Callithrix jacchus: one gene and its partners. The protein of the gene in region 2 purifies or fractionates together with the protein of the main gene of each other region. This does not show direct contact. Links are inferred from orthologs where the notes say so. Each region holds a gene or a part of one and is shown on either strand. Other genes may lie near its edges.

What was found.
Region 1: the proteins of PARP1 (region 2) and CTCF purify together in Homo sapiens (affinity purification with mass spectrometry; 6 studies listed by BioGRID and IntAct, with this or other methods). This does not show direct contact. The link is inferred for Callithrix jacchus from reciprocal best matches to the Homo sapiens genes PARP1 and CTCF.
Region 3: the proteins of PARP1 (region 2) and RNF146 purify together in Homo sapiens (affinity purification with mass spectrometry; 4 studies listed by BioGRID and IntAct, counting the BioPlex papers as one, with this or other methods). This does not show direct contact. The link is inferred for Callithrix jacchus from reciprocal best matches to the Homo sapiens genes PARP1 and RNF146.
Region 4: the proteins of PARP1 (region 2) and TCF7L2 purify together in Homo sapiens (affinity purification with mass spectrometry; 3 studies listed by BioGRID and IntAct, with this or other methods). This does not show direct contact. The link is inferred for Callithrix jacchus from reciprocal best matches to the Homo sapiens genes PARP1 and TCF7L2.
Region 5: the proteins of PARP1 (region 2) and XRCC1 purify together in Homo sapiens (affinity purification with western blotting; 9 studies listed by BioGRID and IntAct, with this or other methods). This does not show direct contact. The link is inferred for Callithrix jacchus from reciprocal best matches to the Homo sapiens genes PARP1 and XRCC1.
Region 6: the proteins of PARP1 (region 2) and POLB purify together in Homo sapiens (affinity purification with mass spectrometry; 4 studies listed by BioGRID and IntAct, counting the BioPlex papers as one, with this or other methods). This does not show direct contact. The link is inferred for Callithrix jacchus from reciprocal best matches to the Homo sapiens genes PARP1 and POLB.
Region 7: the proteins of PARP1 (region 2) and H2AX purify together in Homo sapiens (affinity purification with mass spectrometry; 9 studies listed by BioGRID and IntAct, counting the BioPlex papers as one, with this or other methods). This does not show direct contact. The link is inferred for Callithrix jacchus from reciprocal best matches to the Homo sapiens genes PARP1 and H2AX.

The regions. Positions count from the first base shown.
Region 1 is NC_133521.1:25,145,733-25,148,188, forward strand, and holds part of CTCF (transcriptional repressor CTCF), read left to right. Parts: intron 1-3; coding exon 4-165; intron 166-2,456.
Region 2 is NC_133520.1:22,886,382-22,890,266, forward strand, and holds the end of PARP1 (poly [ADP-ribose] polymerase 1), read left to right. Parts: intron 1-318; coding exon 319-446; intron 447-1,207; coding exon 1,208-1,269; intron 1,270-2,375; coding exon 2,376-2,490; intron 2,491-2,858; coding exon 2,859-2,940; 3' UTR 2,941-3,385; downstream 3,386-3,885. UniProt on the Homo sapiens protein: Poly-ADP-ribosyltransferase that mediates poly-ADP-ribosylation of proteins and plays a key role in DNA repair.
Region 3 is NC_133505.1:133,838,748-133,842,901, reverse strand, and holds the start of RNF146 (E3 ubiquitin-protein ligase RNF146), read right to left. Parts: upstream 2,801-4,154; 5' UTR 2,569-2,800; intron 1-2,568. UniProt on the Homo sapiens protein: E3 ubiquitin-protein ligase that specifically binds poly-ADP-ribosylated (PARsylated) proteins and mediates their ubiquitination and subsequent degradation. May regulate many important biological processes, such as cell survival and DNA damage response.
Region 4 is NC_133513.1:105,892,385-105,896,502, forward strand, and holds the start of TCF7L2 (transcription factor 7-like 2), read left to right. Parts: upstream 1-1,318; 5' UTR 1,319-1,831; coding exon 1,832-2,020; intron 2,021-2,282; coding exon 2,283-2,349; intron 2,350-2,552; coding exon 2,553-2,677; intron 2,678-4,118. UniProt on the Homo sapiens protein: Participates in the Wnt signaling pathway and modulates MYC expression by binding to its promoter in a sequence-specific manner. Acts as a repressor in the absence of CTNNB1, and as activator in its presence.
Region 5 is NC_133523.1:38,039,787-38,043,286, reverse strand, and holds part of XRCC1 (DNA repair protein XRCC1), read left to right. Parts: intron 1-255; coding exon 256-372; intron 373-3,500. UniProt on the Homo sapiens protein: Scaffold protein involved in DNA single-strand break repair by mediating the assembly of DNA break repair protein complexes. Negatively regulates ADP-ribosyltransferase activity of PARP1 during base-excision repair in order to prevent excessive PARP1 activity.
Region 6 is NC_133514.1:44,073,577-44,077,554, forward strand, and holds the start of POLB (DNA polymerase beta), read right to left. Parts: upstream 2,801-3,978; 5' UTR 2,640-2,800; coding exon 2,579-2,639; intron 2,258-2,578; exon of another isoform or gene 2,257-2,257; coding exon 2,199-2,256; exon of another isoform or gene 2,171-2,198; coding exon of another isoform or gene 2,070-2,170; intron 1-2,069.
Region 7 is NC_133511.1:18,753,534-18,757,055, reverse strand, and holds H2AX (histone H2AX), read left to right. Parts: upstream 1-1,433; 5' UTR 1,434-1,509; coding exon 1,510-1,941; 3' UTR 1,942-3,022; downstream 3,023-3,522. UniProt on the Homo sapiens protein: Variant histone H2A which replaces conventional H2A in a subset of nucleosomes. Nucleosomes wrap and compact DNA into chromatin, limiting DNA accessibility to the cellular machineries which require DNA as a template.

The DNA of each region.
Region 1 (2,456 bases), on a different chromosome or scaffold from region 2:
AAGAAAATGCTGAACCAGATCTGGATGACAATGAGGATGAGGAGGAACCTACAGTAGAAATTGAACCCGAGCCAGAGCCTCAGCCCGTGACGCCAGCCCCACCACCTGCCAAGAAGCGGAGAGGACGACCCCCTGGCAGAACCAACCAGCCCAAACAGAACCAGCGTAAGTTGTTCATCTCTGCTCTGGAGGCTGGCGTCTTCTAGCATGTGGGGGAGCCAGATGGGTCCTTGTGCTTTGGGGAGGTGGGAACTAAGCCATGAGAACAAGTTAAGGGCATGTTGAGAACAAACTCTCAGGAAATGGTTTTTTAGGAGTATTTACTGAGGAACATCTGAGGAAGTCTTTAGAGGCCTGTTACATTTCAAGGAGAAAAAGTCCAGATAGAAGGATACTTGTGTTCTACAAGATGGGTACTGCTAATGTGGGCGGGTTTTGAAAAACAAGCAGTCACAGTCAGCTGGGAGAATGGATGCAGTAAAGAATATAGAAGAGCCAAATTGTAAATGGTGGAGAGGGAAAGCAGTTTCTGTGCTGAGATTGCCCCTTTTAAAATTCACAGTAGAGCACAGTGGCTCACACCTGTAATCCGAGCACTTTGTTGGGGCCAAGGTGGGAAGATCACCTGAGGTCAGGAGTTCCATACAAGCCTGGCCAACAAGGTGAAACCCCATCTCTGCTAAAAATACAAAAATTAGTCAGGTGTAGTGGTGGGCGCCTGTAATCCTAGCTACTCGGGAGGCTGAGGCAAGAGAAATCGCTTGAATCCAGGAGGCGGAGGTTGCAGTGAGCTGAGTTGGCAACAGAGTGACTCCATCTCAAAAAAAAAAAGGTCCTTTGGAGTCAAGTGCTGGCCTCCTGGATTATGAGAGGACAGAGGTGGTGATCCCTCCACCTCATACACAGCAGGCACTGGAGACGCAGGTCTCTACTCCTCTACTTGTGTGTTTCTCTGCATCTCCTGAGAGCTGACAGGGTTTTTTTTTTTTTAAACAAATGTAGGTTTAATCTATTTTTTAAGATACTCTCCCTGAGTCCCATATGTCAGTGCCTGGTCACAGAAAAGGAGGTTAACAGCAGTTCCTGGAACCAAGCATCTCATTTCACCTCTATACAGTGGAGTGAACAAACTGGTGGAAGGGCCCTCGTTGTGGAGAGCTGCCAGATAAAAAATGTCACCTTGTGGCTGGGCAAGGTGGCTTACACCTGTAATCTCCGCAGTTTGGGAGGCCAAGGTGGGCAGATCATGAGGTCAAGAGATCGAGACCATCCTGGCCAACATGGTGAAACCCCATCTCTACTACAAATACAAAATTTAGCCAGGCATGATGGCATGGTGCCTGTAGTCTCAGCTACTCAGGAGGCTGAGACAGGAGAATTGCTTGAACCCAGGAGGCAGAGGTTGCAGTGAGCCGAGATCATGCCACTACACTACAGCCTGGGCAACAGAGCAAGACTGTCTCAAAAAAAAAAAAAGTCACCTTGCTGTAGGAGGGGCCTCCCACATTATACACTCTAGTAGTCTTAGGTTCACCCTGCACTTTTTACTTGCCCCTCTCACTATTGTAAAGCCTGAATTTATGACATAAAGGAATACTAAGTAAGGATTTTATCTTTTTATTTATTTTATTTTTTGTAAAGATCGGGTTTCACCATGTTGGCCAGGGTGGTCTCAAACTCCTGACCTCAGGTGATCTGCCCATCTCAGCCTCCCAGAATGCTGGCATTATAGGCAGGATGCACCATACCTGGCTCTGTAAGGACTTTAATGTGTGATTTGAGGGGCATATGAAGATGAAGGTCAGCATTTTGTTCCTTTTTTTTTTTGAGACGGAGTTTCGCTCTTGTTACCCAGGCTGGAGTGCAATGGCGCGATCTCGGCTCACCGCAACCTCCGCCTCCTGGGTTCAGGCAATTCTCCTGCCTCAGCCTCCCGTGTAGCTGGGATTACAGGCGCATGCCACCATGCCCAGCTAATTTTTTGTATTTTTTTTAGTAGAGATGGGGTTTCACCATGTTGACCAGGATGGTCTCGATCTCTTGACCTTGTGATCCACCCGCCTCGGCCTCCCAAAGAGCTAGGATTACAGGCTTGAGCCACCGCGCCCAGCCAGCATTTTGTTCCTTGATAGTTTCTAGAGTATTGGGGGTTTATTTTATGTATGACCATGTTTGAGATCTTTAAGGCTTTTTTTTTTTTTTTTTTTTTTTTTGAGAAGGAGTCTTGCTCTGTTGCCCAGGCTAGAGTGCAATGGCACTATCTCAGCTCACTGCAACCTCTACCTCCTGGGTTCAAGCTATTCTCCTGCCTCAGCCTCCCAAGAAGCTAGGATTACAGGTTCCTGCCACTATGCTCAGATAATTTTTGTATTTTTAGTAGAGACGGGGTTTCACCATGTTGGTCTTGACCTCAGGTGATCTGCCTGCCTCAGTCTTTCAAAGTGCTGGGATTACAG
Region 2 (3,885 bases):
AGTTTAAGTAACATTGATGAGCTCATTCCATCCTCACAGCAGCTCCATGAGATTATGTTCCCCATTTGAGAAAAGAGTCAAGTAGAGTCCAGAGAAGTGATGTAACTTCTTGCTCCTTGGCACCTGGCAGAGCTAGGATCTGAGCAGCCTGGCTTGTGGGCTAAACCTTTGGTATTTCCTTACCACGGGCATTGTGAGAATTAGAAGTGATGGATTGCAGCACTTAGCTGGGCTCCTGGCTCTAGCTGGTACTCAGAGAACAGCTGTTCCTAATTTTCCATCAGAAGATTCTCAACTATCCCTTTTCCAACCTTCCAGACAGGCTACATGTTTGGTAAAGGGATCTATTTCGCTGACATGGTCTCCAAGAGTGCTAACTACTGCCATACGTCTCAGGGAGACCCAATAGGCTTAATCCTGTTGGGAGAAGTTGCCCTTGGAAACATGTGAGTAAACCTGGCTCTGGAACGGGTGGCATTTCATGGGGACAGATGGAGTGGGCTAGGCAGAACTCCCCTTGGCTGGGAGAGTGGAAATTCCCCACTACAGTTACTGGGCCCACCAATCAGGATGCTTTGCTTGTAAGTAGCAGAATCCAATTCAAGTTAAGGGAACAAGGGAGATACAAGGATACCTCACAAAATGCAAGAACAGAATGCAACCAGTCCTCCGGAGCCGGCAGTGTCTTCTCTCCATGGACTGGGAAGCAGAGAGATTGAGTTGCACAAAGGACGATCCCCCATGGCTTCCTCCTCCACTCACCAATGTTTCAGTTTTCTTAGACCAACCCAAATGGAACTAGAATCTTAATCCCATTTCTAGATTCTCCACAGAGAAAGATCGATTAGTCCAGCTTCATTTGGACATCCTGTGAACTATAACCAAAAGCACAGGGTCATGTAAAAGGCCAGGGGTTTGGGGACTGTGGAGTGTGAACAGAAACCCAGAGCTGCCGACCACTGCTCCAAATAGGGCCTTTCCTTGAAAACAGCCCCATAGCAGTGATCGCTGGGCACAAACTTCAGCCACAACTGCAGCCTTGGGTTCTGGAGGAGTTCCAGAAACTCGAGAGGGAGCTGAGCAGTTAAGATGGTCTGGGTTTTGTGGGTTTTTAACTCGTCTCCATATCTCACCTTGTTCTAATCAAACTGTTGGTTTTGAGAGCCCAGTGTGAAGGCCTCTTCTGAGACTGTCCACTCTTAAATAGGTATGAACTGAAGCACGCTTCACACATCAGCAAGTTACCCAAGGGCAAGCACAGTGTCAAAGGTAAAGTGTTTCCGAAGCTGCTGCTACAGCCCCAGGCACCCTGAACAGTACAGAAGCGGTGTCTTGCTGTCCTGAGAATGCTGCCTTGTGGCTGGCTGTCAAACAGCTGGAGATTTCATTTTATCTTTTGGGGCATGTGTGTGTATGTGTGTTGTTGTTGTTTAGGTGGTGGAATATGCTGCAGCTGACCATGATTGAAGGTTCATTTTACTTATTTATTTTTTTTAAATGGGCAAGATATACAGCAAGCAGTTCATTTTTAAAAACAGTTCACTCCACCATGGCATGTGTATACCTATGTAACAGTCCTACACAAGCTGCATGTGTACCCCAGAACTTAAAAGTATAATAATTTAAAACACACAGTTCACTCTCTGTGGCTGCAGCTAGTATCACAAGTGCCACAGGAGCGGGCACCGGTAACCAAGTACATGGGTTTGGGCTTTAACCTGACTTGCAGCTACCACAGTGAGGGACCTCTTGTGACATAGTAGTGCCTGGAGCATCTTGGATTGCTAGAATTTGCAGCATATGATTTAGAACCTTCCACAGCCCGGTTGAAGTGGCTGCTTTGGAATTCTGTTGAGCAGAAATGTGACCCTATAGGGTATCGCTGCTCTCATTAAACTCAGTGAAGGTTGATGCCCTGGGAACCTTGATTTATTGCCTTAGTTTTATATCTGAAGGAGAAAGATATGTCTTTAAAATGAGCACATGAGGCTGGGTGCAGTGGCTCACACCTGTAATCTCAAGTTACCTTGGGAGGCTGAGGTGGGTAGATCACCTGAGGTCAGAAGTTCAAGATCATCCTGGCCAACATGGTGAAACCCTATCTCTACTAAAATACAAAAAATTAGCTGGGTGTGATGGCACATGCCTGTAATCCCGGCTACTCAGGAGGCTGAGGCAGAAGAATGCTTGAACCCTGGAGGCGGAGGTTGCAGTGAGCTGAGATTGCACCATTGCCTGGGCAACAGAGCAAGACTCCATCTCAAAAAGGAAAAAAAGAAAAGCAAATGGACTCACATTAAATAGAGCTCATCTCCCTGGAACCTTTGCCACCTCTGTTCTCACAGTTAATGTCATTTGTGCCTTCTGTTTTGCAGGTTTGGGCAAAACTACCCCTGACCCTTCAGCTAGTATTACTCTGGACGGTGTGGAGGTTCCTCTTGGGACTGGGATTTCATCTGGTGTAAATGACACCTGTCTACTATATAACGAGTATCCTTTCTTGAGTATGCTGTGTGAGCACAAAGGAATGTTCTGGAGCTACAGAGTCACTTACATGCTGTCAGATTACCCGGGACAGACAAGGATTAGAGGCTGTTCTGTAGATGTGTCCCATGGTGACTGTTTCCTTTTAGTGGTCTCTCCCTGTGCATAGCCTGGCTTACAGGGTATGAGCCTTCCCTCAGTTTCCAGAGTATGATCTCTTCTCCTCAGTCTGCCTGAAGGGCACCAACCCAGCCCCATGAAGAAGCCTTAAAGTAACTTTCAGGGTGGCACTGGGCATCCTGCCAGCCCGGGGAAGATAAGGCCCATGTATTCTCTCTGTGTGGCCGTTAGCTCCTTAACAAGATTCCCCTCAGGTACATTGTCTATGACATTGCTCAGGTAAATCTGAAGTATCTGCTGAAACTGAAATTCAATTTTAAGACCTCCCTGTGGTAATTGGGAGAGGTGGCCGAGTCACACACGGTGACTCTGGTATGAATTCAGCCCAAGCGCTTCTGCACCAACTCACCTGGCCGGCTAAGTTGCTGATGGGTAGTACCTGTACTAAACCTCCTCAGAAGGGATTTTACAGAAACGCGTTAAAAGGTTTTCTCTAACTTTTCAAGTCCCTTGTTTTGTGTTGTGTTTGTGGGGAGGGCTTGTTTTTGTTTTTTCTTGCCAGATAGATAAAACTGACATAGAGAAAAGGCTGGAGAGATTCCGTTCGCATAGACTAGTCCTGTGGAGATAAATCACGCTCCATTAGAACGTCTGCCTTACTGGTTTCCCCAGGGAAGGAAAAATATGTTTCCACCCTTTTTTCGTGTTCATCTTTAGTTTTGATTTTGGAAAGATGTTAAGCATTTATTTTTAGTTAAAAATAAAAACTAATTTCACACTATTTAGATTTTCTTTTTTATGTTGCACTTACTGTCCCCTTGTTAGTTGTTTTGTTTGCCTCTGTGGTGAGGGCTGTGGGCAGACCAAAGGAAGGAACGCTAACAGTTTCTCATGCTTCGAAACTGAAAGAGCTTTCCTTCTCTAGGAATACTTGAACAGGGAAGCTCTTGAAATGCGTAGTATTAAAAGTTGTATTTGAAATTGTTGACTTTCTCATGGGCACTTTTATCTTCCAAATTAAAACTCTACCACCGGTATACTAATCCAAGGGCTAATAGTAATACTCAATTAAAAATGCCTTCTCTATTTGTGTACTTTGTGTCTGGTCTCATTCTGACTACAGATACAGTTCATCTTCACAGTGCAAGGTCCCAAGAGACTTTGGGGGGCTTGTTTCTACCCAGAACTGTGAAACCCCAGAAGATGCCAGGCAGCAAACTGCATTGCTCAATGGGAATGCCCCACCTAAGGGGCAGAAAACCAAGCACCAGGCACAGGATC
Region 3 (4,154 bases), on a different chromosome or scaffold from region 2:
AGCCCTCATCATCACCTGCTAAAAATGAGCTAAGAAAAAGCATAGGTCATACTCGAAAACTTCAACAAAACTCACTGCAACTAAATGGGGTCTGATACTTTAAAGAATATTTCCCTTTAAAAACGTTACTATGTGGCAATCTACTTATTGACCTCACAATCTTTATACTAGCGCTTTAAACCCTTCAATTTTTCTCAAAACAACAACAAAAAAGTGGGCTTTGCATTTTATTTCAAAACATGAGATATAAAAGTGAACAAATCTTTTAATAATATCAAACACAGATGTTTCTTAGCCAGCAACCATTTCATAAATAAGAAAGGCTCTTTGGCAAATTATCTGTGTGACTTTGGTCAAGTCATAACCCCCAGTGTTTTGTTATCTCGTCCTACTTTATATTTTACGTTCTAAATGCTTTAATTAGCAGTCAGTTAACAACCATTTTGGATTTAAATTAACCCAAAAGGTAATAAGCCATGAAAACTAAAGATAGTTCATAAGTAAGCACAGGTGGTTGTAGCCAAGTGTTAAATAAATTGGTTTCTATACCCAAAAAGATTGTTCCCGATCCAGCCTGTTGTTTTCACAAATTGAGACTCCTCAGGCACAAGGGAACCAGGTAAGAGAATGGAAAAGGCTCAGTACCTTTTATTACTAACACCGAAGAAAAATACACATTCGAATTCCCAACTGACAGTGCTGTTAGACGTTTCATGCTAGTATATGGCTAGCACATAAAATAATATTCTTTAAACAGATAGATATTGTGAAAACAGAAAATTTAATATCCTTTTCTTCTAACTCAAAATATCGTTTTGGATCCTTTTAAAAAAAAATGTCTGTTCCTTTCTTCTGACAATGTAAGTTGGTGGAGACTGAAACAAAACACTTTGCAAGTGGACATCGCCTTTACAAAACAGTTAATTGTTTTTTCTTCCTCTTGTCTAAAGACCAGCTATTTGGACAAAGTTTTCCTGATGATTATAATTCTACCAAGTTCTGAACAACCATCGAAGAAAAGAAAAACTAAATGTATTTCCATTCTGCCCACAGCATACACTGGCCCATTTGAGACACAAATTGTAAATGAAAGATTGGGCTGAACAACATCCTCCACTTTAAAATATACAAGGCACCAAAACAAACACATCCAAAATCTATTTTTAGAGTGGCATTCACTCTTCCAGTTTTCTCTTTAAAATGAGATTTACTTGACCTATTTTCATGTGTTTTTAGGGCACCAAGACAGTCCACAAAAACAGTATTTGCTAGTCATAAAACAGCAAAGGCACAATCACAAATCCTGTTATTTGTGTGGGATATTTTCTTCATGTGTCCTTACGTGCCATGTCTTAAAAGTCTAAATATAGATTCACTGACTAAAATGTCCTAAGTCTTCCAGATTTATAATTATATACTGCATTGAATGCCAATATTATACGTTCACATCCCATTTGAAAAGTACACACACGGGGTGGGGGTGATGTGCCCAGCACCTGAAATGTCAATCATACAAAGAACAAAGCGTTCCCCATCATCTTTTGGCTTTCTTCTCTCCTCAGTTGTACATTGTTTCAATATTACAAAAATATCACTTAAAATGTTCAAAACTTGAGAAATAAGTGCTCACTAAAACGGCACTTAAATTAAAACGTATACCAAAATGATGAACGAGAAAAGATTCTTGTTGCCAGGATGTGTGTGTAAACTTACAGTCCTGTGGAGAGGACGGTTCCCTCTCCACATTCTTAAAAATAATTTTACATTCTTTAGAAGCCTTTGAAAAATAAATAGCGACAACAATGGAAGACCCGCACTCCTTCAGACTGGATGGAGGGTAGGAAGAGAACTCCCCACCCAACAACCAGAACAAAGCAACAGCCTCGGCTTTTAAGATGTACAGAGGGTCTGGAGGCTCAAGGGACATTCTGAGACCTCTTAATTGTTCCGATGCTTTAACAGCCGTCAAAACAGCTAAGAATATGCAATGCGGGGCTTCACTAGGACAAGGTGCAGGAATGCTCTCTTCGTATTAGGCAAGACCGAGACACTGAGCAGGAGGAGAAAAAGGAGGAAGAGAAAGAGCAGAGAAAGCAGCAGCCAGAGACACTCCGGGAAAAGACAAAATGCAGACTGTACGCCCTGGCTTCGATCTGACCCAAGGCCCAAAGTGTCTGACCCCACACGGGAAACAGGGAGCAGGCTACTGCCAAAAAACCATCGCCGCCCCTACACCTCGAGGCCAGAAGGTCCCCGCGTAGAGGCCTGACACCACGGCCCAGGGGGAGGAGAGGGACCCGCCTGCTACCCGAGGCACCGACGCGGGCTCCGGCGGAAGAGGCTGCGCAGTAATGGCCGCTGCTCCGCCCCTCGCACCCCGACCGAGACCAGCTCAGGCCGTCACCCAGGGCAGGGTCTGCGGCGCCCTCGGGCAGCACAGGGGCTGTCACGGCCGTCTAGCCTGCGACCGCAGCCAAGGCTGGGGTGGCGGAAAAGGCTGAGCTGTCCCATCCCGCCTCTGCGCGGGCAGCCGCGGCCGCGCCAGCCCAAGGGCGTCCATCTACGTACCGGCCCCTGACCCCGCCGCCGCCCCTCTCAGGCCCCGAGCGCAAGGCCGACCCGGAGTACGTCGCGGCTGAAGGTGACACCGCGAGCTATGCTTCCTCTCCCCCAGTGAGGGTCCTGGAGTGGCCGGAGTTCTCCCTGCTCCCCCGACAGGGCCTCGCTCCGACTGCCACCTCTCTGGCCACAGCAGCGGACACCTCGCAGTCTTTTTCTCTCCGGCCTCTGAGCCCGCAGCGGCCGGGGACGCGCGCGGCCCTCACGTGACCACCCGGCGCGTCGCGGGGGCGGGGCCGCGCGGGGCGGAAGCCGCGCCGCGCACCCGCGGGCTCGCTCCGGCGTCTCTTCGTTCCGTCCCGGTTTCGCGCCGCTGCCTGCCTGCACTCTCCTGCCTGTGGGGATCCGCGACTTCGCTGCTTGGATCCTTCTGGCTGCTTTAGAGTGTACTTTGTTTGTATTAGGGGCCAGAGGCTCTGAAAGAATGCAGCTCCAGCAAGCAGATTTGGGGTGGAGGAAGTAAAACGCGTGTAGGAACTGCAGGTGGTGCTGCGCAGAAATCCAGTTTTGCGATCCGGGAGAAGCCCTGGGGTGCCTAGCCGAGTTTCGGCTTGAAGATCCCCTGGCAAAAGAACTGCTTTTCCCTTTCAAGAAATAAAAAAGGGTGGTGGGGGGCGGACCGAGGGGGTAGAGTATTCTAGGGCTTTCTAATTTATTCACCTTTTTAATGGTTGAGCAATTTAATCGGGAAAAGCATGGATATTACTTTCCCTTTGAACCCCTCCTTTTTTTAAAAAAAAAAAACAGAATAGTGCTTGAAAAACTGGAGAAAGAAATTAATCTGCATGAGAATCTAAAATTAAAGAGGTTATTTTGATCGCAAGCCTGTGGTTTAAAACATCAGAACTCTAGCAGTATTCACCATTTTCGCATGTACATTTCCTTTTTCAGAACTGATTAAATTTTCCTAATTTGTAGGAAAATGAAGAGGGTGGAAGAGCAGGCCTTTTATCTTTAAAAGCGTATGTATTTCAAAATTTTATGACAGTGTCTTATTTGCAATAGTGTTGCGTTTTGGGATTTCATTAAATGTTTCATTCAGGATGGGAAGTTTTCAGCGACCTTATATGTATAGAAATTTATATGTTTTCTGTTATTCCTCTGAATCAGTTTATTTCAGGGTTCTCATTCTCATATCTCAATATGTAAACCAGTCTCTTGAAAGGTGCCATCTAGTTCAGTGATGCTTGCTCATGTATGCAAAACTGCTTTTCTTACAAGTTCTGTACATATAGAAATATTGAAGTGTATGTCCTTTAAGCTTAGTTTTCTATCTTCATCTTCTTATTAGCCACTCAGTTTTATCCCTCTATCCTACACAGCCCATGAACACAGAATAGCTAAAATTTGATAATGTACCCAAAGATTCCAACTTGAAGAAATAATGCTATTATTAATTAGCTATGTGCCAGGTGTTGTGCTTTATTTATATATACCCATTTAATTCTCCTAATAAACTATGAGGTAGGCACTATTGTTATTCTCATTTTACAGAAAGAAGCACACAGCTGAGATTTGAATCCAGGCACAGACAG
Region 4 (4,118 bases), on a different chromosome or scaffold from region 2:
CCTCTTACCGAACATCTACAAAAATGAATCTTCTTGCTGTATCACCCAGCAACACTGTGTTTTGGGAGCCGGGCCTTTCCTCTTTAACATAATCCCACTCCCCATTTTGTAGCAAATCAGTCTGCTCCTCCTCTAGTAACTAAAAGTCAACAAATACCTGCCTCAAGCCCCAGGTTTCCCATCTTCTCCCGGAGGTCTCCTAGCATTGGTTTGGTTAGCAATTTCCTGCCACAGCCACCTACATCTTGATTATTTGGTCAGTCTTTCGGGGATTTCATTTCAGAGCCCCTTCGAAAAAAACTGCAGCCCAACTGATCCCAGGGGCCCGGTGAACTTTCAGTTTTATTTTTCCCTGGCGGTGTTAACGCCCAAACTTTTCACCTCCGAAGTTTTCAAAAAGGACTTTGACTCTAGCTCATATCCTACCAGCTCCAACGTCAGTTAAAAAAAAAAAAACAAAAACAAAAAACCACTAAAACACCACTCTACATGTAAAAGAATCCTATATTTTTTCCTTAAGGATACTTTTAATGTCTCTGACATTTAGTATTTGTTTTTTGGATAAAAAGTCATTTTGGCATATTTATCCTAGTGGGACTTAACAATTCATGAAATGATTCACTACTAATAAACAAAAAAGGGAGGAGGGGGCCTCATGGGTTAATAGTTTCTTTCATTGTAGATGACCAGGAACTTTGACCAGCCCCTTCACTTCTCCAAGCTCTCTGAAAGTGGAGGGTTGATTTTTTCTTTTGACCACCTCTGTCGCATGCCGCCCAAGGGTGGCTGATTCTACTGTTGAATTAACCACCAAGCATCCCCCCCAAACCCCGCCCCCAGCCACCACTTTCTCACAATTCTACCCTTCCTTTTCCCCTCTCTTAAGACTTATTTCTAATATTACTAAACTGCACTTTTTCTGGGCCTCTCCCCATCCCCGCCCCTCAAGTGGGCTTTCCTTCCGCCTTCCTCGGCTCGGATTCCTGACTTGGTCGCCACCCCCTTCTCCTCCTCTCCCACCCCGCATTGTCTTTCTGAAACCGCCCCCTCCCGGAGCGAGTCCCTGCACCCTCGCCCAGAATCCAGGGCTCGCACACACTCCGCGCAGGCCGCTCCCCCTGCACACTCCTCCCTCCGTCTCCCCCCTGCTTCCCCGCCCCTCTCCTCCTCCTCCTTTCCCTCCTCCCTCTCCCGGCGCCCGAAAGGATCATTGTTAGCCGCCCCCGCCCCGCCCACCCGGGCTGTTTATTTATGCACACGTCACCGGGCAGGCCCCGCCCTCCGGCATCTCATTAAGGCAGTGTGTTCCTCTCGCCCTGTCAATAATCTCCGCTCCCAGACTACTCCGTTCCTCCGGATTTCGATCCCCCTTTTTCTATCTGTCAATCAGCGCCGCCTTTGAACTGAAAAGCTCTCAGTCTAACTTCAACTCACTCAAATCCGAGCGGCACGAGCACCTCCTGTATCTTCGGCTTCCCCCCCCTTTGCTCTTTATATCTGACTTCTTGTTGTTGTTGGTGTTTTTTTTTTAACCCCCCTTTTTTATTTATTATTTTTTCGCACATTGATCGGATCCTTGGGAACGAGAGAAAAAAGAAACCCAAACTCACGCGTGCAGAAGATCTCCCCCCCCTTCCCCTCCCCTCCTCCCTCTTTTCCCCTCCCCAGGAGAAAAAGACCCCCAAGCAGAAAAAAAAGTTCACCTTGGACTCGTCTTTTTCTTGCAATTTTTTTTGGGGGGGGCAAAACTTTTTGGGGGTGTTTTTTTTTTTTTTTTGGTTTTCTTCCTCCTTCATTTTTCTTCCAAAATTGCTGCTGGTGGGTGAAAAAAATGCCGCAGCTGAACGGCGGTGGAGGGGATGACCTAGGCGCCAACGACGAACTGATTTCCTTCAAAGACGAGGGCGAACAGGAGGAGAAGAGCTCGGAAAACTCCTCGGCAGAGAGGGATTTAGCTGATGTCAAATCGTCTCTAGTCAATGAATCAGAAACGAATCAAAACAGCTCCTCCGATTCCGAGGTAGGAAAAGCCCCTCGGGCTGGTGGGGTTTTTTATCTGTTTCCTGGGCTTGGCAAATGTTGCTGAAAGGGGAGAAATCGGGGCTAGGGGCGGCGGCGGGGCCCGGCGGGCGGCGTGTGCGTGCGGTGCCACCATTGCAAAAACTTGTAACCCTGTTTTTTCTACCCCCCCACCCCGACCTCGCCGATTCTTTTTCTCCCCGTTCTCCTCCCTCTGCGTGGCGTTTGCCCCTCGCCCTCCCCACCTCCACCCCTCCGGGAAGGCGGAAAGACGGCCTCCGCCTCGCTCCGAAAGTTTCCGAGATAAATCCCGAGAAAGTTTGGAAGAAGGTGAGTACGCCCCGCGCGCCCCGCAGCCGCCCCCCGGGCCGGCCGCCCGCCCCGCGCGCCCGGGCCCCGCGCCCCGCTCGGTCCGGCCCCGCGCCGGTCCGGCCGGGGCGCCCGGCCCCTCGGGGCACTTTCTAAAAAGTTTCTCCTCGCTCTCTCCCGCTCCGCGCGCCCGCCGCCGTCCTCTCGCCGCCCCGCCATGTTAGCGGCCAAGAGGCAAGATGGAGGGCTCTTTAAGGGGCCACCGTATCCCGGCTACCCCTTCATCATGATCCCCGACCTGACGAGCCCCTACCTCCCCAACGGATCGCTCTCGCCCACCGCCCGAACCGTAAGTGCCTCCGCGCCCGGCCCCCGCCCGCTGCCCGCCCGCCCGCGCCGCCCGCCGGGCCCTGCATGCGGCCCCTGCCCTGCCCCCTCCCCGCCTCCCCCTCCCCGCCTCCTCCCCTCCCTCCCTCCCCTCCCCCGCTCGCGGCCCAGGCGGCCCGAAACTCTCCAAACTTTTCTGCCTTTTGTGGACTGGATTTGTTTGCACTTCGCCACGTTCTTGCTTTCAGTTTGCTGCCTCGTGATGTTGGGGAGACCTCTCTTTCCAAGCAGGGCTTTGTTGTGGGGGGGATCCGAAGAACTTTTCTTTTGCGCTCTGGTTCCCCCTCCCCTTTTGGTGGCGGTGGTTGTTTCTTCACCCTGGGAAGATGACTGTGTGGCTCTTTCTTTGCTCTCTCTCCCTCTCTCTCCTTCTCTTCCTTCCCTCTTCTGTGGTGTCTTGGGCTTTCCCCGATTAACCCCTTGGCTGCCGCTGCGGGCCCTGAGTGACTGTGCTGCGCCCGACGCGCGGGCTAGAGAGTGGGTTTCCTCCAGGCGTTGGACTTGAGAACTGGCGAGCGCGCAGAGCCGGGGGCCTTGGAGAGGCGCCTTGGCTTTCTCTTACGGGCGGCTGTGTATTTAGCTTTCTAGTGGCGATCGCGGACTCTCGGCCCTCCTTCCTCCTTCCCCTGGAAGGTCACACTTCCCAGATTGGTCCCACCGCAAACTTGGGGGCTCTGAGGAGCCCTTTTCTTTGGCAACCTGCGGGGCCGCGGGCGCCCTGGGTGCTGTGGCGGGCTCGGCTGCCCCGTACGCTGGCTGCGGGCTCTCCTGGGCCGCGCGGGGCAGCGGGGCAGAGCGGGGCGGGGATGCCCCTGCGGCCCGGGTTCTGGGTTTGTGTGCAGCCGGATGGCCTCCTCGGAGCAGACTTGTATATTTCTAGGGAATTTTGGCGCCTTGGGTTGTATGGCGGGGTCTGCGCTCGCCAGCTTCCGTGTAGGCCCTTCGTGGGGCCCCCCCGGGGGGGGGGCAGAGACCAGGGTGTGCGGGCTCAAGGAGGTGCAGGGGCCGAGGGAGGCCGGGGCGCCTCTCCTTCCAGGGAGTGGGTCGCCGATCGCCGGCCAGCCAACTTTGGGGGCCCCAGGGCAGCGCGGGGTGCCGGGCTCCGGGGGCGCTTCCTGCAGCGTCGGTCCCGCGCCCAACCCTGACATTTGTTAAGACGGCTCATCCCCTCCCCCACCGGCCTCTGCCCCCTGCCCTCACCCTGAACCCCCTCCTCCTCATCCCTCCCTCTCTCTTCTAAGAAGCCTGGATTACGAATCTCTGGACGCAAGACGCGTTTGCGCCTGGCTTCCCGGGATTGTCATTTTACACCCTCTCCGGTTTGGTCCCCATACCCCTTATTTACACACACGACTTTTGTTTTTTCTTTTTCGGTAACTTTAGTTAGCAATTTGAGATAATGC
Region 5 (3,500 bases), on a different chromosome or scaffold from region 2:
GGTGCCTTCTCTTTGTGTCCGCTGTGTTACATGCTTTTTCTCTCTCTCTCTCTCTGGCTCACTCACTCTCTTTCTGCTTGCACTCTGTAGCTTTGTCTTTTGCTCTCTGATTTTTTTATCTCTCCCTCGATATCCAACCTCTTTCTGTTTCTCCCACCTCTATCTCATGATCTCTCTCTCTGTCTCCTTGTCTCTCTTTCCCCTTTGCCCCTCAGATCACACCTAACTGACATCCTCACTTCTGCCCCCCACCAGCTGTGCCTTTGCGAACACCCCCAAGTACAGCCAGGTCCTAGGCCTCGGAGGCCGCATTGTGCGTAAGGAGTGGGTGCTGGACTGTCACCGCATGCGTCGGCGGCTGCCCTCCCGGAGGTGAGGCCACATACACACTAACCCTGCTTTTTATCCTGTGCTGGGCAATGTCAGGGATCTGGAGAGGAGTCAGACTAGGGCCTGCCAGCAGAGAGCACAGGTGGTCCCAGCCCAGAGTCAGCAGACTCCTGAGAGGAATGTGGCAGGGGCTGGGGGACTCCAGATGAGGGAAGGAGGACCTGCCTGGGAGGTCACAGAGGGCTCTGTGAAGCCTGCTTATCAGAAAAGGCTGGAGGAGTAGTTTGTGCAAAGACTCTGGGGTGGGAGAACAAGTGCTGGGGTCCACATTCATTCATTCAAAGTGAGTCCTGGCACAGTGGCTCACACCTGTAATCCCAGCACTCTGGGAGGCTGAGGTGGACGGATCACTTGAGGGCAGGAGTTTAAGACCAGCCTGGCCAAGATGGTGAAGCCCTGTCTTTACTAAACATACAAAAATTAGCTGGGTGTGGTGGCACATGCCAGCTGCTCAGAAGGCTGAGGCAGGAGAATTGCTTGAACCCGGGAGCCAAAATCATGCTATTGCCTCCAGCCTGGGCAACAGAGTGAGACTCTGTCTCAACCAAAAAAACCAAAGGAGTCCTGGAAGCCTTTGCTTGGTGCCAGGCTGGACTGTGCAGGGCTGAGGATCCAGTTATCAAGCCCTGCCCTTGAAGGCTTCTCACTATGATGAGGGATCAGAATTTTAACAGTGCAATGGAAGCCCCAAGGGGTGGCCCGCAGAGAGCAAGGGGTGTTCAAGGTCCACAAGAAGTTTTTCAAGCTGAACAGAGGCAGAGAACATGCTGGGCAGAGGAGACAAGGTCAGGGTAGCCTGTCGTCTGCCTGGAGGAGTTGCAGGTGGGGCTGAGCTTACTGGGGGCAAGAAGTGGCAGGAAAAATGGAACCAGGGGCAGTAGGAACTACAGAGGTCTTTGGACTGAGCAAAGGCAGTGTGGTGGATTGGAAGGGAAACTGGATTGTCCTTCATGGCCTGAGTGTGTTCAGAAGTTAGCTGTGCCTAGTGTGTTTGAAAAATGAGGAGATCGATCCAAGATGGCCGACCACTAACAGCTCAGGATTGTAGCTCCCAGTGAAAGCCCAGAGAACGAGACGACGCCACACTTTTAGACGAATTTTCGTCACTCACCGATCAGCCGATTCCCAGTGGAGGAGCCCCACGGGTCGCCAGCACGACTCTTGTGGCCGCCGCAGCGGTTTTGCCGGCGTCTCGGCGCAGCAGCTCTTCATGCAGAGCCAACGGGACTGCTTCCCCTACTGACCGGAGTTTGGAGCTCCGGGAACTCAGAGCCGCTTGTTGCGGACTCAAGAGGGAAGCCAGACCAGAGATTCCCGGGCAGAAGAGCACCATCAGTCTCACCGCTGCTATTTAGGCTGCCACAGTGGGTTGCTCGGATCCCAGCACTGGGAATCAATAAGTCGGACGTCGACTCAGAAAACTAATTAGAAAGGCGGTTCATCTACAATGAAGGGAAAAAAACAGCCTAAGAAGGCCGAGTATACTCAAAATCAGAACCCATCAGCAACAGAACAAGCCCTGATGGAAAAGGACTCATCAGCAGCAGAACAAGCCCTGATGGAAAAGGACTCATCAGTAACGGAACAAGCCCTGATGGAAAAGGACTGTGTTCCATTATCTGAAGTAGGCTTTAAAAGGTGGATGATAAGAAACTTCTGGGAGTTAAAGGAACTTGTTCTAACCCAATGTAAAGAAACTAAGAACTTGGAAAAAAGGTTAGATGAAATGTTGAAAAGAATAGACAATATAGAGAGGAATACAAATGAACTTATGGAGTTGAAAAATACAACACGAGAACTTAGTGAAACATGTATAAGCTTAAACAGCCGAATGGATCAAGCAGAAGAAAGGGTATCAGAGGTCGAAGATCAACTTAATGAAACAACACAACAAGACAAGAATAGAGAAAAAAGGATAAAAAGGAATGAGCAAAGTCTCCAAGCAATATGGGACTATGTGAAAAGACCTAATATACGCTTGATTGGTATACCTGAACGTGACGGAGAGAATGAATTCAAGCTGGAAAATACTCTCCAGGACATTATCCAGGAAAATTTTCCTAATTTAGCAAAGCAGGACACTGTTCAACCCCAGGCAATACAGAGAACACCACAAAGATATTCCTCAAGAAGACCAACCCCAAGGCACATAATTGTTAGATTCACCAAGATCGAAACGAAGGAGAAAATATTAAGGGCAGCCAGAGAGAAAGATCAAGTTACCCATAAAGGTAAGCCTATTAGGCTTACAGCAGATCTCTCAACAGAAACCCTACAAGCTAGAAGACAGTGGGGTCCAATATTCAATATACTTAATCAACAGAACTTTCAGCCCAGAATTTCATATCCAGCCAATTTAAGCTTTACATTTGAAGGAAAAATAAAATTTTTTAGGAACAAGCAAGTACTCAGAGATTTTATTACCACCAGGCCTGCTTTACAAGAACTTCTAAAAGAAGCACTATACACAGAAAGGAACAACCAGTATGACCCTTTCTAAAAATACACCAAAAAGTAAAGAGCATTAACATAAAGAAGAATTTTTATCAACAAAAGGACAAAATAGCCAGTTAATATCAAACGGCAGCAACCCTAAATTTAAATCAACCAAATCTCCCAATCAAAAGATACAGACAAAATCTAACGGTATATCCAAAGATATACATAGACTCAAAATAAAGGGTTGGAAAGAAAAAAACGTACCAACCAAATGGAGAGCAAAAATAAATAAATAAGCAGGAGTTGCAATTTTTACATTTGACAAAATAGATTTCAAAGCTACAAGGATACAAGGATAAAAGGATTAATGTAATAATAAGAGATCTTAACACCCAGATACATAAGACCCATAATGAGATTTAGATTCAACGAGACAGAAAATTGATAACGATATCCGGGACTGGAACTAAGATCCAGAACAAATAAACTCAATAGGGCTCTCCATTTTAAACACACAAAATATACATTATCCACAAAATCTAACGATATATCTAAAGATATACAAAGACTCAAAACAAGGGGATGGAAAAAAGCTCACCAACCAAATGGAGAGCAAAAATAAATAAATAAAAAGCAGGAGTTGCAATTCTCACACTTAATAAAATAGATTT
Region 6 (3,978 bases), on a different chromosome or scaffold from region 2:
CCGTCAAAAAAAAAAAAAAAAGTTATACCCTTCATGTTTCAATGCCTTCGCACATTTTATTTGTCTACACTAATGGCCCTCTCACTTACCCCCGATGAGCTTCTTCAAAACTAAACACCTCCTTTCGGAGGCCTGCTGTGATCCAAATAGAAAACAAAGTTGAATATTGCTATGATTTTTCAATCAGCAAATGTATGGATGATAATACAATTATTTTACTTTACATAGGAAATCACAGAAGTAAGGAAAGGAGGGAGCACAATCAGCTCTGAACTGCGGGGAGTGGGAATGGAAGAAGGGAGCTGACTTGGGATAAAGACAATATAGGGCTAAAAATGTGGAGAAAAGTCCAGTGAGACACAGATTTGGAGTCACTACATTAGTAGCATTTCAAAGTCAAGAATGGCAAGATTGCCAGGGAAACTACAGAAAAGAGGGCTAAGGGCAGACAGACTTCTTGGAACCACAAGTTGACTATCCCTTATCTGAAATGCCTGGGACCAGCACTGTTTCAGATTTTGAATTTTTTTCAGGTTTTAGAATATTTACGACTGGGCATGGTGGCTCATGCTTGTAATCCCAGAACTTTGGGAGGCCGAGGCAAGCAGATCACGAGGTCAGGAGTTTGAGACCAACCTGGCCAGCATGGTGAAACTGTCTCTGCTAAAAATACAAAAAAATTAGCTGAGCAGCTACCAGGGAGGGTCAGGCAAGAGAACTACTTGAACCCGGCAGGCGGAAGTTGCAGTGAGCCAAGATTGCACCACTGCTCACCAGCCTGGCGACAGAGCAAGACTCCATCTTCAAAAAAAAAAGGAAAGAAAAGGAATATTTGCATATACATAATAAGATATCTTAGGGATGAGACCCAAGTCTAAACACAAAATTCATTTATATTTCTCATACACTTTATACACATACCCTGAAAGTAAGTTTATATAATCGTTTTAACAATTTTGTGCATGAAACAAAGTTTTGACTGCCACCTATTACATGAGATCGGAGGTGGAATTTTCCACTTGCGTCATCATGTTGGCAATCATCCAGATTTTACAGCATTTCTAATTTTCAGATTAGGGATGCTCAACCTATACCAACATTGAAAAGTAAGACAGAAGAAAAGATGAAAGAATGCCATTACAGAAATCAAGAGACTTCCACAGAATGAGCTAGGGGTGAATGCCACTGAGAGTCCAGTAAGATGAGATGTAGGTGAGAGGATTTCCAGAGCAAGGGTAGGTCCAGGCAAGAACTGGGACTTCTTAATGACTAAATGACTAGGGATTAAGAAGTCCAGGCAAGAAATGAAGATTTTTCAAGAAGATTAACTGTAAAGTGAGAAAAGAGATAAGGTGCTAACTAGAGGGAAGTTAAGATTGTTTTGGTTTTGGTTTTGAGAGCTGAAGGACTTGGACATATTTATATGCTAAGGAGGGCTGGCACGGCTGATGCCTAGAATCCCAGCACTTTGGGAGGCTGAGGCAGGTACACCACTTGAGCTCAGGAGTTGAAGACCACCCTGGGCAACATAGCAAAACCCCATCTCTACAAAAAAAAAAAATGAAAAAAAAAATTAGCTGGGTGTGGTGGCATGTGCCTATAGTCCCAGACTCTCAGGAGGATGAGGTGGGAAAATCGCTTGAGCCTGGAAGGTTGAAGCTGCAGTGAGCCATGATCATGCCACAGGGAGACCCTGTCTCATAAATAAATAAATAAATAAATAAAGGCTAAGGAGCCTTTTATGGAAAGAATGAATAGGTTAAGGCCCCTGGTGAGATGGATAAGGACAGGATCCCATGAAGGTTAGATGAGGATGCTACAGGATCAGCTTCAGACCAACCAGAAGAAAAAATGTAATTCCTTGAACCACATATATTTCATAGTATGGACTTCATCTGCTGTGTTTCAATACGGTTAAAATTACACTGCATTTCTAGTAATTCATGTTTGATGATGAGAAAAATACATATCAGGCTATACCTATCTACAATCAGAACTGGGAACTTATCTGAATTGATCCTATAAAGAACTGCCCGCACTCTTCAACGAATACTGAGTAAGGTACCAGCCTCGGTTCTTGCTTTTCCCCCGCTCTTGTAGATGGACCAAGTATCCACTGGGTCCTCAGTCCTGTTAACTGCCACTCTAAACAGGCCATCCCAGAACGCATGCTACCCGAGAATGCTGCACTGTCCCACCTGTAAGCATTGTACTTGTGGATAGCTTGGCTCACGTTCTTCTCAAAGTTTGCGAGTTCTGAAAAAGCAACAAGAGGCTCGGTGAACAAGAACCACGAATAACAAACAAGAAATGTTTTCTGGAAAGGGACGTGGCAGCCTCCAAGAGACAGTGACTACCTGTTTCCTACAAGGGCCAGACCAAAAGCAGTCCAAGCGATGGCCCAGGTGTCCCCAGCAGGACTGACAACTATCCAGGAGCGCCGGAGAAAGATCCCCACGGACTACCCGCTGCTAGGGGTCGACTCCACCCACTGGACTGTAGGGGTGGGAGAGAGGGAAGGGAGGGGAAGGGGTTAAAAGGAAAAAAGAAAGCCAGCAGGGCCCGGCCCGGTGCTAACCCGTGAGCATGTCGGTGATTCCCGCGTTGAGAGTCTCCTGCGGCGCCTTCCGTTTGCTCATAACGGCCTGAACCCGAGAACCCCAGAGTGTTCAGAACCAGGGATTGAAGCCCTCTCCCAGCTTGACGGAGGTACCAGACTTGGGGAGGGGTGCAGGAACAACCCAGCTCCGGCGCGACCTGCGCTACCGGCACAACCTGCGGAACAATGGCTGCCCCTGACAGGGGGCGCGGCGCGCGGCGCCTATGGTGACGTCACGCGTCCTGGGCGGGGAGGGGCGGGGCCGGGCCAGGCGGGTGTGGCGGAGCTAGAGAGGTGCGTCCGCGGCGGAAGACGAGAGGGACCCCGGGGAGTTAGTGGACTCCTGGACTCGTGGATGTGGATGCGGGGCGGGGGAAATAGGCGCCTCAGAATGACAGCTCAGGGGCCTTCCTATGAGAAGACCTGGAGTTTTGACCTAAGAGATTATGTTATATCGAACTCAGCATAGAAAGTCAACACCAGAACAAAAGTATGCCAAATTACAGGGTTTATTGCCGGCGACCACGGAGGACTCACGTCTCTCCAACCCGTGGCCCCGAAAGGAGAGAGACAAGACCTTTTCATACCCGCAAAACCACCTTGGGAGTTGGGGTGGAGATGGGAATGAAAGCTATCAATCACCTCCCAGGCTAAGACGAGGGTGAGGGGCTTCAGAAATTCCGAGGGCCAGTGGATTCAAATCACCTTCTGGGCGGAGAGGAGGGTGAGGGGGTTCCGGACCTTTCGAGGGCCAGGGGACTATTTGACATTCTGATTGTTATTTAAGGGTTCACAGATGCTAAGATTAGCATTCATTTACACATCGTCTGGGTAGGGGTGGGATCCATAGATTTTCAGTTGGTTGGCGCCAGGATGGAATGATCTGGGGGTGCTTACTCTGGGAAACAAAGGCCAGCAATTCTGGCAGATAAGAGAAGGTATGCAGCTTTACCTCTCTTTGCATCCTGCAAATGATCTAGCAATTTACAGAAACCAAGGTTAGCAGTCCTTGAGGAGAATGGAAACATTTTTGTATTTTATAAGATGGCAGCATACAGGTTCCAACTTAAGTTAGCTATATCACAATTACATCTGTTTTCCCAGTGTTTCTCTAGAATCCTTTCCCTAGAAGGGGAAACAGGAGTACGATCTTGATTCTGAAATACTTGCGCTGGTGGTGCGGCTTCCTGCACATACATGTGCTCTGTAATAGCGACCAAATGCATGGCGCGTTTTATATGTGGTCAGAGACGACGATGACTTCACACTTACTGTCAAAACTTTCTCTAAGGATACCGGGCAGTCCACACTGCAGTGCAGCCTCCGACTAGGGCGCTGTCGGAGCCCGGCATGAACCCTGCAGAGAACAGGAAGCCTCC
Region 7 (3,522 bases), on a different chromosome or scaffold from region 2:
CTGTAGGTATATTTCCTATATGGGCATTTTTGGGTAGATTGAGAGGGTTGGTGAGAGTACTTCCACCAACAGGATGCCTATCTCTCTCCCTTGCATAATCTGATACGGTGGTTCTGATAGCAGTAAGCAGCAGAGCCAGAAACAGATCTGAGGTTGACTCCACTTCAGTGCTCTTCCTATTAATTAGCCATGGAGGAGGGTTCAAATAGTGGCCTCCTCTCTCCTTTCTTCTAGCAAGAAATGAACAGAACTGAGACCAAACAGAACATGTTGAATAAATATTGAAATCCTGGCTAGGCATGGTGGCTCACGCCTGTAATCCCAGCACTTTGGGAGGCTGAGGCAGATGGATCACGACGTCAGGAGTTTGAGACCAGCCTGGCCAATATGGTGAAACCCTGTCTCTACGAAAAATACAAAAATTAGCCCAATGTGGGGGTGTGTGCCTGCAGTCCCAACTACTCTGGAGGCTGAGGCAGGAGAATTGCTTGAACCTGGGAGGCAGATGTTACAGTGAGCCAAGATGTGCCACTGACTCCAGCCTGGGCAACAGAGCCAGACTCTGTCTCAAAAACAAAATAAAAGAACTCCTGATACTTCAGGAGGGCCAAAAGATTAAAGTTACCCTGTTTCGTGGAATGGGATCACACTTTCAGAGTCACTGGGTGTGGTGGCTCACACCTGTAATCCCAACACTAGCAGGCAGAGGCAAGAGGATTGCTTAAGCCCCAATTCAAGACAGCCTGGGCAACAAAACGAGACTCTGTCTCTACAAAAATAAAATAATTAGCCAAGTATGGTGGGGCGCGATTGGAGTACCAGCTACTAGGGAGGTTGACCAGGGAAGATCCCTTGAGCCCAGGAGTTCGAGGCTGCAGTGAGCCGAGATCACACCACTGCCCTCCCGCCTGGGTGACAGAGCGAGACCCGGTCTATTTAAAAAAAAAGAAAGAAAGAAAAGAACGTTAAGGGTCTAATTTCCCTTTCTCCCTTTGCCAGGTAGGAGAAGGGTATAGAGAGTGACCTGGCCTGGAAAGGGAGGCAGCGGTAGCTGTAGTATTGACCCCTGTCCTTTAAAATTCCTATTCCAGCACAATTTCCCAGAAGTTTTCTAGGTGGCCTCAGACTCCACCCCTTCTGTCTTCAGCTTCTGGTTTCCGACTGTACCGTTTAAATCTCGCGCGCTTTACAATGATTGGCTACGTTCGCGGGTGGTTGGCCGTCTGCCCGCTACCCCTCCTTTTCGCCTTTTCTCCCCGGGCAAAAGGTTTTCAAATTTAACCAATCGACGGGCGCGCTACCTCAGCAGAGGCGCGACACCCAAGGGTTAATCGCAACCAATCGGAGGAGGGTACTGGAGAAAAGGGCCAATCAGGAGGGTGCGGAGGTGTGTCCTGGGGGCCTATAAAAACGGCCTCTCGGCGCGCGCGCGCGACAGCAGTTGGACTGCGGAGAGTGTTTGTCCTGGTGTCTCTGAGCCGTTGAGCTTCGCCGGTCTACCTCGCTAGCATGTCGGGCCGCGGCAAGACTGGCGGCAAGGCCCGCGCCAAAGCCAAGTCGCGCTCGTCGCGCGCCGGCCTCCAGTTCCCCGTGGGCCGCGTACACCGGCTGCTGCGGAAGGGCCACTACGCCGAGCGCGTTGGCGCCGGCGCTCCAGTGTACCTGGCGGCAGTGCTGGAGTACCTCACCGCTGAGATCCTGGAGCTGGCGGGCAATGCGGCCCGCGACAACAAGAAGACGCGGATCATCCCCCGCCACCTGCAGCTGGCCATTCGCAACGACGAGGAGCTCAACAAACTGCTGGGCGGCGTAACTATCGCCCAGGGAGGCGTTCTGCCCAACATCCAGGCCGTGCTGCTGCCCAAGAAGACCAGCGCCACCGTGGGGCCGAAGGCGCCCTCAGGCGGCAAGAAGGCCACCCAGGCCTCCCAGGAGTACTAAGAGGGCCCGCGTCGCGGCCGGCCGCCAGGCCTCCCCATGCCACCACAAAGGCCCTTTTAAGGGCCACCACCGCCCTCACGGAAAGAGCTGAGCCACTTCAGACTGCGGAGCAAGCGGGCCGCGGCTCCCGCCTCCCTGCCCCTCCCCTCGCCCACCGCCCGTCCTGGAGTCCCCGTCCGCCCCCACTCGTGGCCCGCGCCCCCTGCCGCGTCGGCCTCGGGCCCTGCCACGTCCGCCGGCCGCTCTCCGGCAGGGCTCGAGCGGTCCGGAAACGGCTAGGGCGCTCTGCGGGGACCGCCGTGGCGCGGAGGACCCGAGCCTGCCGGGGGGAGACCGGCGACGCCGCACCTGCCCGCCTCGGCGCTCGTGACTCAGCCGCCCGATCCTGAGTCGCCGAGGGGCTGCGGGGAGGCCGCAGCACCTTCTGGAAGACTTGGCCTTCCGCTCTGACGCAGGGCCGAGGTGGGCAGCCCAGGCCCAGAGGCCGGCGGCCCTGAAGGTGAGTCCGTCCCTCGGCAGCTGCAGCCGGGGCGTCTGGTCCTCCCCCGTCGTGGTGCTTAGCCCAGGACTTTGAGACGTGGCCGCTGGCCTGGAGGCTTTGGTGGGAGAGATGGGCTCGCTGATATCCGTCTGGCGCCCCCTCTGCGGCCAGGACTCAGGCCTTTCACGTCAGCTCTCCATCTTCATTCATAGGTCTGCGCTGGGGCCGGGACGAAACACCTGGTAACAGGCACATCTTCCTCCCGAGTGACTGCCTCCTAGGAGGACATTTGGGGGAGGGTGGAGGCCTGCAGTTTGGCTTCACGGCTGGCTATGTGGACAGCGAGAGTCGTTTTCGCGGAAGCCAACTGGCAGCCAGGCCTGTCGGGCCTCCCCACGCTGCCCCATGTCCCTTCCAGCAAACTCGACTCGGCAATCCAAGCACCTAGATACCAGCACAAGTCGGTTAATCCCTGTCTGGACTGAGCCTCTGTTGGCTTTCGAACTGGAATTTTGCAGCTAACCCTTCCAACACTAGAACCTGAGGCATTGGGGAGTTTTAGATGGACTAATTTTATTAAAGGATTGTTTCTTTTTTAAATGGAGCGTTTGTATTCATTCTGCAAGAGGGTTGTAGAATTAGTGACTTTGTACACCTTCCCGAGACAGTGGGGGTGGGAAGGGTATGCAATATAAATAGGCTCTACTGTTATAGAGAAGGGACAAACCATAGCAATTTAAGATTATGGCTGTTTCTCAGTGTTTCTGGGAGACAATTTATTCTGTGTGAAATGAAAACTATTTAGGCAGAAGCAGAAAGGATGTTCCAGGAGAACTTTGGGCAAAAGTCCCAGCCTCAGAAGTAAGGATGAAAGGGCTTTGTTCATATCTTCCTGCCCACCCCACGAAAGAAAAACAACAAAAAGCACCTTCAGAGCGGTTTATTAGTAGAACTGGTTACATTCAAAGGCTGTGGCTTGGATTTCTCTAAAGAGATGAAGCCCTCACATACTGAGGAGGCAAGGCAGTCATCAGGGGCTCATAGTGAGGCAAATCCCTGGAAGGCTTGGACCCTGCTGTTCAGTCTCCTGGGGTAATTGC